Drosophila melanogaster: one gene and its partner. The protein of the gene in region 2 interacts with the protein of the main gene of each other region in a pairwise test. Each region holds a gene or a part of one and is shown on either strand. Other genes may lie near its edges.

Region 1 (4,555 bases), on a different chromosome or scaffold from region 2:
AATTATTAATAACATATCGCAAATTTAGTGTGACTTGCTGGTGGTGTTGGCTGATGTCCTGAAAGACGTGGATAAATATCTGAAATTTAAGTTTTTAACTCCTGAATAAGGAGGGATGAAGACGTAGACGACAATAAGTTTATGTTTAGTTAAAATACTGCCTTTTTTATTTAGTCAATATTAAAAAAGAAAATAATATTTAAATTAAACAGATAATTTTTTTGTTTTTATTTAAAACATCGATGTTTAGAACAACATGTTTAAAGAATATGTTTAAGACTTTGATATTTTTCGCCAAATCGGAAACATCGATGTTTCTCCACCACTATTTTCTCGTCTAATTCAATAACGATTCCGATTCGTGTCGATAACCTTTTGGTATCTTAATCAAAATTTTTAATGTTTTGTTTATGGTATACCGATCAAATTGCAAAAAAGTAAAATCGAAGAAAAATCAAAACATTTTTCAAAAGTATATGCGTGGCAGTTTTGGGCGGTTTGTGGGCGTGGGAATTAGTTTTTTGCAATTCAAACAGGACTTATAACAAAATTTTAAAAATATCAAAACATTTTTCAAAAGTGCGCGCGTAGCGTTGGACGACACTAAACTGGGCCACATGGGTCAACAAACTTGCGCTGCGACTGTCTGTTTTATAGTTCCTGAGATTGAGGCGTTCATACGGTCAGACGGACATGGCCAGTTCGACTCGGCTATTGATCCTGATCAAGAACATATGTTTATACATGTATACTTTATAGGTCGGAAACGCTTCGTTATCCATAATTACAAAATTGTATTTTATTCATTAATTGCTGATTGAGTTCAGTTGGTACTACAGTACATCAAGTACTTTTTGAATTATTTTCTGTTCGGCAAGTAGCCCGTTTACGAAGAGTAAAAGTTGCAATAAATTAGATTTTTCAAATTCAGGGCTCCGGCCATCCTGCCCTTGAGCCACCTCTTCTGCTAGGAGGCACCGCCCGCTTTGTGGCCACTGCCCTTTTCCCGCTTGACTATCGGCAGCCGCGTCCAGATGTAGCCGCCCGATCTCTGGGCAGTGTACTCATCCACGTCCGGCAGGGGAAACGGGGTGCTCCGGTCGAAGTAGTAGTTGCTGGGAGCATGCATCACGAACTCTAGGTAGCAGAGCTTCCGGGACAGCTCCTCATCGGGTCCTGCAGGCACGGGAGTTAAGCAAAAATACAATTTAAAAAACTTTGGGTAGCAGGCAGGAGGACAGGACTGACATACCGATTAGGTAGGTAGGGGGATCGAAGCCCTCCTGGGGATCCGGACTGTCCTGCGTGGGAATCAGCCAGGTGAGGAAGGCGGACTTCTCGCAATAGGCGTCCACAAGCAGACCGCGTATCTGGGCGTAGTACAGATTCTGCTCGCTGTCCACAATGCTGACGATATCCCCGATTTGTATATAGCTGCCCTTGTGGAAAAGGCTTCTCACGAACCTGGTGCTCGCCTGCACCTTGGGAGTTTTCTGTGCTGGTTTCTTGAAGAGAGCGCGGCGATTACGGGCTCCAGTGGCCCCGCCTGTGCCCGCTGGACCGGACTTCCCATGCTTGTTGGTATTACTGGGATGGGCGCCAGCGCCCGCGAGGTGCACGGAGCTGCCGGTGGAACCATTCGCCCCGCTATTGTGGCCATTTGACTGGCTACTGCCGCTTCCGGGAGTGCCCTTGCCCGTTTGCTTGGCCTTGAAGCGCGTGCTCTTTCGCAGACGCTTTATTATCGTTGGGGAGCGGGTGGGCGCCTGGTTGGCTGTGCCATTTAGACTGCTACGGGTGATCTTGCCCGCAGTTCTCTGGCTGGGATTCGCTGCTGTCTCCGGCGAACTGGGCGCGACTTCCTCCTGAGCCTGCGGCTGCGGCGGCGGCTTCACTGGCTTGTCCTCCTCCTCGATTTTGATGGCTGTCGGATTGCTGGGCGGTTGCACGGAGCCGTCCTCCAGTGGCTTCTGGTCCTGCGCGTCCTTCTGCTCCTCCTCCTCTTTTTTCTCCCGTTTCGTTTTGGAATCCATCGGCTGCTCCAGCTCGGCCACCGTTGGCATCCGTTCGCTAGTGGTAAGATCGTTGTCTATCTCCATGTCCACGTCCATGTCGGTGGAGTCCTTCTGTGGCTCGCAGGAATAGGAGGGAGCTGCGACAATGGAGGCCAACGCCAGATCTCCAGCGGCTTCTGCTTGGAGGCCGTCGCCTGCGGTTGACACCTGGTACATGGGACTGACGCACTTGTTTAGGTCGGCGTCGGTTGACATGGCTAATCCATGCCCTTATTCAGGTCGTAGTGATTTTTAAAACAATAAATGCTTCAATGTGCTTGTTCTGCTATGCAAAACAACGTAATTTGTGTAGTATGTTTTTGTTAAACCAGTGTTGCCAGACCGGATCGGCGGGGGCTGCCAGGTAGCCAACTGTGCTCTGACTAATGCAGCCCTGGTTTTTTTAGGAATTCAAAATAGAAAGAAGAAATACCGGTGGAGATTCCATATTCAATTTCTCGCCAGTGGCGTTTTGTTAGATTTCCCTATCAATTTCGTTGGTAAAAGAACGTTGACCGTTGAACGTTCGGCCACCGTTGGCATCCGTTCGCTAGTGGTAAGATCGTTGTCTATCTCCATGTCCACGTCCATGTCGGTGGAGTCCTTCTGTGGCTCGCAGGAATAGGAGGGAGCTGCGACAATGGAGGCCAACGCCAGATCTCCAGCGGCTTCTGCTTGGAGGCCGTCGCCTGCGGTTGACACCTGGTACATGGGACTGACGCACTTGTTTAGGTCGGCGTCGGTTGACATGGCTAATCCATGCCCTTATTCAGGTCGTAGTGATTTTTAAAACAATAAATGCTTCAATGTGCTTGTTCTGCTATGCAAAACAACGTAATTTGTGTAGTATGTTTTTGTTAAACCAGTGTTGCCAGACCGGATCGGCGGGGGCTGCCAGGTAGCCAACTGTGCTCTGACTAATGCAGCCCTGGTTTTTTTAGGAATTCAAAAACGTTCAACGGTCAACGTTCTTTTACCAACGAAATTGATAGGGAAATCTAACAAAACGCCACTGGCGAGAAATTGAATATGGAATCTCCACCGGTATTTCTTCGACCGTTTATATTATTAGTACATTAGATTCGATGGCAAGTGTGTATATAAGGTAGAATTGCGCTATACTGCTATTTTTAGTTCGAATTCGCAGAAGATGTCATAATTTAAGCGTAAACGTAAACATATACCTTGTAGGAACTAAATTAAAAATGGTCGAGAAGCCAATTCAGAATTTAGCATCGATAAGTACGCAAAAGCTTTCTAAAGAGTTTAGGTGTAGTTTCGCACGCTTTCAAGAGCTATTCATTTCTTTCTGCTCCTCCGGGACGGCCCAGCAACCTAAGCATGGCACATTACTTAAAAGATGTCATTTATTTTGAGTTCGTACGTCTAGTTAATCAATGTAGTACTCGCGCTATTGAACAAATTATCCTATATAATTTAAAAAAGTTTGTTAAAAAGGGCTGCGCATACCATTCTGCTTCACTTTTCGTTCTTACTCCGGATTGTTTTGTTATTTACTCTTTACTACTCGTATAGCTAATAAGATCCTTACACCTAGCGAAAAAAATAGTGACAATAATGGGGATTCGGGAATAAAATACATTTACAAGGAGTCATGCCTGGATTTTCGGGGAAGGTGCGCGGAAAACCACGAGTTTTCCACGACGTATGGTATGGTTGGGGGAAAGGGTCATGTGGCATAGCATCGCTTTAAGATCATTGGGGCAAAAGGGCTCCTTTTGCGTTTGTGTTTTCGCAACGCATGGGCCTTTAAATGTTGCGGTTTCGGTGGTTGCCGCCTCGCTGGTTGCGATTGTTTCCGTTGCCGTTTCCGCCTGATCCTCCGCCCGGAAAGTGCCCTCCTCTGCCGCCATTATTGTTGAAGTTATTGAAGCCCATGCCCATGTTGCCCATTGAATTCATGTTGTTCATGACGCCAGCTCCTCCCCCATTGTTCCCACCAAATGGGTTGAAGGGATTGCCATTGGGCACAGGTCCTCCTCCTTGGTTTATCCCCAACTGGCCAAGTCCTCCCAGATTGCCAACGCCCTGGTTTAATCCATTGCCATTCGGAGGCATTCCCATCAATCCTCCGCGTGGCGGTGGCTGATTGAAAGGGGGTCCCACGTTGCCCATTTGCATCATCATTCCCGACATGCGAAGCATTCGTATGTTCGGTGGCGGTAGCCTTAACATTTGGCTCAGATTTGGTGGGGGTTGCGATAGATTGGGAAGCACTACTCCTCCTCCTCCTCCTCCTCCTCCTACTCCGCCTCCAGAATCTCCGCCGCCACCAAGAGCAGCACCATTACCGTTGGGCTCCTCGGGAATCTGCACCACCTCGCCATTGTCATCTACAAAGATAAAGAGCTTGGCAAAGATCTGCTGCAACGTTGTGTTGTTCACTATAAAGCTGACATCGAAAATTTTCGGAGCATCATTCGGCAGCTGATGGAACTTCTTGAGCTCGGTAAAGACCAGGGCGAGCTGTTGGTTCACCA
Region 2 (4,628 bases):
GCAATCAGACCATAATCTACTTAATGTCTTTTTCGCCGGGAGGTGAGCCGCCCACCCGTGGCCATCATTAAAAAAGGAAGAGCAAAAAAAAAAAAAAAACGAAAAATGGGGAAAAAGAAGTGCGCACTGCGAATGAAGTAATGCAGTTTGCCACACACGTGCTGTGCGGATTTATGGCCAAAAGCAAAGGACACGCCACATTAACCGAAATTAGGCTGTCACTTTTTGGCCATTCGCGCATTAGCTGCCAAAAGTGAAGTTAAAAGTGCGTGTTTTTTCCGCTTTTCATTATCAAGGCTTTTGTTGTCTACTTTTTGGCGCGCAGCGAAGCATGCGCTGCTTTGAAGTCATTGGCAAGGATATGAGTTGTATTTTGTGAGCAACAGCAGCAGCTGCGGAAATCGAGTTGAAGCAAATGAAAGGATGTGAATTTTAAATGGTTAACTGCGAGACTTGAATGGCACGACAACAATCTGTACAATAACGTATTACAATCAAAAAGATAATTAACAATTTCGTTTACAAATTAATAGGTCTCGACGCTTTTTTTAACTGACATAAAAATTCGAACATTTAGATCTTGTAGATTAGTTGTAAAGTATGTAACACTATAAAGTCAGAATCACTGACAATGTCCGCTTGACTGTCCGTTTGACTGTCCGTATGAACGACGAGATATCGGGTACTATTAGATCAAGAACTACAACTACTTAAGATACTGTTAAACAGATTAACAATTTATGCATCTTTATTTCAGATTGTTGTCATGCCCGCACGTACGACCACAAACCAAAAAAGTCAATTATATAATTTTGTTGAGTGTTTGAATTTATGAATTTAATTTATTATTGCCCAATTTTATTGATGCTAATTTGACGCTCCTCCTAAAAGGTTCTTCCCCTCTTTTTCTAGATTAAATCACTAATGACTGCGGACTCTAGTCCACTTCATGCCATCCGAAAATGTAATTTAGTTAGATATCATCCCATAAGAAAATTTATTTATATTTCCTAGTCGCCCTTGTTGCTTTTCGTACCCACGATGCATTCCAAGAATCCTTTATCCCCTGCAACGCTTTTCTTTCACTGCTATCCCACTTTCAGTTAAATTTACACAACCTTTTAGCTAATTTTAAAGAAAAGTCGACACACAAAGGCCTGAAGGACACAGAAATCGGGCAAAACAAAAAGACGCTTTGCAAAATATTTTGCCGTAGACAACATTAGATATTGTTTTGAGCTGTGCAGACATGGGCTGGCATTTTAGTTTAGTCTCTGTTCCTCGTTGGAGTTTTGTTTCTAGTTCTGGTCTGGTTCTGCAACTGCTTCTGCTTCTGTTTCTGCTGCTGTTTCTGCTGCTGTTTCTTTTGCCATTATTGTTATTGGGGGTTGGGGACGGCTGACAGTCTCCGACTGGCCTGTTATTGTTGGCCCGGCGCACAATGCGGCCATAAAAAGCTGCCAAGCCAAACAATTGAAACAATAAAACGGCTTTAAGAAGGGGCCCTCGGAGCTGCGGCTCTGGCAGAGTAGATAAAGGCAATTAGTGTTGGACTGCAGTTTACTCAAAGTTTCAATCGGAACCGCCGAGTCGTCTAGCTGGTTGGGAACAGGATCTCCTCCAGCTTGGCGTTGAACAGAGACTTGACCGTCTCGTCGGTGGTGTCGATGATCAGCTTGTAGTAGCCCGATCGCCGAAGCAGTCGTTCTTCGTCATCAGCCACCCCGTAGATGTCCTCGATGGGCATCAGGATCTCGCTCTCATTCGGCAGGATTAGCTTGCGTGCATCCTTGCGGAACACGGCCACCGCCTTTACCATGTTCGTGTGTGCCCTCACATAGTGCTGGAAGGTGAGGCTCTTACGCTTCGCTGAGATCTTCGACTGTATGCGATCGAGACGGGCTATCAGGCGGAGCAGTATGAACCGGGCATAGCGATCCTTGATCTCCAGCAAGGACATCTCACTGCCATTGTCGAGGGCTGGGCGCAGATAGACGCTCAGGATGATGAATACGAAAATGGCGTTGATCGCGAAGATCAAGAGCAGTATAGCCAGCTGGATGCAGTCGATGTCCTGCGAGAAGACCTCCGCCAAACGCTTCCAGTACATGAGGTCGTAGTGGTGCACGCTCCATTGGTAGTGCAAGTAGGCTGTTACTGCCACGCCCAGTCCGCTGTAGAGCGCTATGTACGGGTAGTTCGCGTGGAAGAAGTCATTAAACTGCACTCGTAGCTTCTGCCACAGCTCCATTATGTCCTGTGTCCTTTGGTTCCTTCTTTTTTCGGTGTATGGTTCCTGGCTGGTAGGGGATGAGTCCGACTGGGTTTGAATTTTCGTTTCGGTTAATTTTGGTACTTATGTTCCGAAAGGTTGATCCATACAATTAGTCTACTTAGTTCGGAGTAATGCAAAATGAAAGACGATTTTAACAAGCCTCTTATGTGGCATTTGTCTGTGATTATACTTGATTAGGTTAAGTTCTTAATATTTTGTAATTTTTTTAATAAATATAAAACAAACTCACGCATTGAATTGGCCATATGAACATTTATAATCTCTATATCTCTCGTTCTCTGATTATCTCTTTATTTCTATTCAAAAATGAAACTATTAATTCTGCAGTATTATTATGGTCTTTAAATTGCTCTGATTTGAATGAGCTATTGAATTGGATTGAAATTGAGTTTTACTCAAAAGTATAAGAGTTTTTTTTTAGCCCGTTCACCCTGCAACCAAATGTTGTGGATGCCAAACAAGTTGCGAGCTCGACGAGGCTGGGTCGAACTTGTTTGGCCTGAAGGGATTGAGCTTTATTGGTGTTGTCTGTAAAGGTTTGAGCAGTTTTGAACAGCACTCATGTGGTAAAGGTCTGTTCCCCTGAAACATGCAACCAATTTCAGTGGCCACAACTCGCATGGAACCGCCCACGACTGCAACTCGAACTGTCTTAAAGTCTTTGGGTTGCATTGTATTCTTCATTTTTTTTTGCGTGTGCTGCAGGCAACTAAAATACGTAAAATACGTCCAGGTCCTGTTGGGCGACAACATTTCGCTATCTGGACTAAGTTTTGCCAGTAACCCGCTTGCGCCCCTCCGCTTTTCCTATCAACCCTAACCGATTTGAGACGTTGATAAGGCAAGCGAAAAAAGCATAGCATACTTCTGAGCGCAATGCAATTTTCCGTTTTCATGTTCTTGGCTCTACTTTTTCGACGTTTTATGCTGCTCTTTCCCTTTTTTCGGGTTCGTCCTTTTGTGCTCTGCACTTATTATTGTCTCTTTTCGGTTGACTTTTTGCGCCGAGGCCAAAGTGCATGCAAAACTGCATTTTGTAGACAAGCCGAAAACCGAAAACTGCCAGCCAAAACGGAAATATTCAAAAATGGTTGGCGGAGTGGGCGGTAGTGGGCGGTAGAGTTCAGTGGGTGGGGACGGCCTATCTGCCAACTCTCGGCCTCTTCCTCCTCCTTCCTCCGCGTAAGTGTGTCTGTGTCTGTGTATGTGTGTGTGTGCGCGCTAATAAAAACGTAAAATTTAATGGTTACGGAAGGCACTAAAAAACAGGCTCACCGACAGCACCCAAGTAGTTGTTGCTGCTTCTGCTAGGTTCGCACTTGCAAAAATCGAGTGCTTTCTTATTAAAACAATTAATATTTGACAGTGAGATATTTTCATAGCTTTCACCTTTTATACAAATTATAGGCACATAATGCACTCTTTCAACTACATTTCATAAGTAAAACTCAAATTAAAGGCACGAAAAGAAAACATTAAATTTGGTGTGCCTTATAAATTGTGTTATTATATATTTCATTAATTTTTGTTAATTAATTAATTATGTTAATTTTTTTTTATTAAAAGAAATGAGGTATATTTAGAATATATTTTTATTTACTTCATAGTTGCCTTAGGTAGATACAAGCTGATTGGAAATTGTCTCTTTCAAGACCATAACTTAGGGTCTCAAGACCGAAAAAAACATTCTACTTTGCTTCAATACGCATCAATCAACGGAAGCTCTATCCGATTTTTCCGAGTGCATCTGCAGTTGCCGCTGCACTCGTAGTGGTGCAGGCAGTGGTCTTCGGCTGTGTGAGTAGTGGCACTGGCGATAACCAAGCAACGAACCACAACCGCACCAAGGAGCGCGGGGAAAACCATTCGATGGGCAAAACTGTAACTACGCCAACCGCCGCCGTCCTTGCCACCCCCTTTGCCAGCCACCATTTCGCCCGCCGCCGACGCAGTGGAGCGCCCATCCGTGCACGTCAAACGCAGACAACTTGAAAAATGTAGAGACAGCGCCGCAGTATAGTTGAAACACGCCAAAAAATATGCAAAAGTAAAATAAAACAGGCACGGCAGACACAGCGACAGACAAACGCATTTGGGCCCGTCGAAAAGCAGGCCCAAACCAGCAACTTCCAGCCACCAACTACCAACTACCAGCGACCAGCTACCAGCTACCAACATCCAACGTTCGACAGTCGAGGGTCGAGGTTCGACATTTGCCGTTAAGGGTTTTTCGCTGTTGCTGTTTACACCCGATCTCAGCCGAAAAGGGAAACTCGGGGGTATGAAGGGCTATTAAGCCAAGTTCTCTCTCCAGGAAATAATAAGTTAGCTT

Evidence for each region. The genes of interacting proteins can lie anywhere in the genome.
Region 1: the proteins of CG6497 (region 2) and CG13367 interact in a two-hybrid assay, tested with the Drosophila melanogaster proteins (one large-scale study listed by BioGRID).

Annotation. Positions count from the first base shown.
Region 1 is NC_004354.4:642,611-647,165, reverse strand, and holds CG13367 (uncharacterized protein), read right to left. Parts: upstream 2,406-4,555; 5' UTR 2,271-2,405; coding exon 1,253-2,270; intron 1,177-1,252; coding exon 968-1,176; 3' UTR 780-967; downstream 1-779. Other genes in the region: su(sable) (suppressor of sable), read right to left, coding at 3,825-4,555.
Region 2 is NT_037436.4:17,251,573-17,256,200, forward strand, and holds CG6497 (uncharacterized protein), read right to left. Parts: upstream 2,366-4,628; 5' UTR 2,252-2,365; coding exon 1,595-2,251; 3' UTR 805-1,594; downstream 1-804.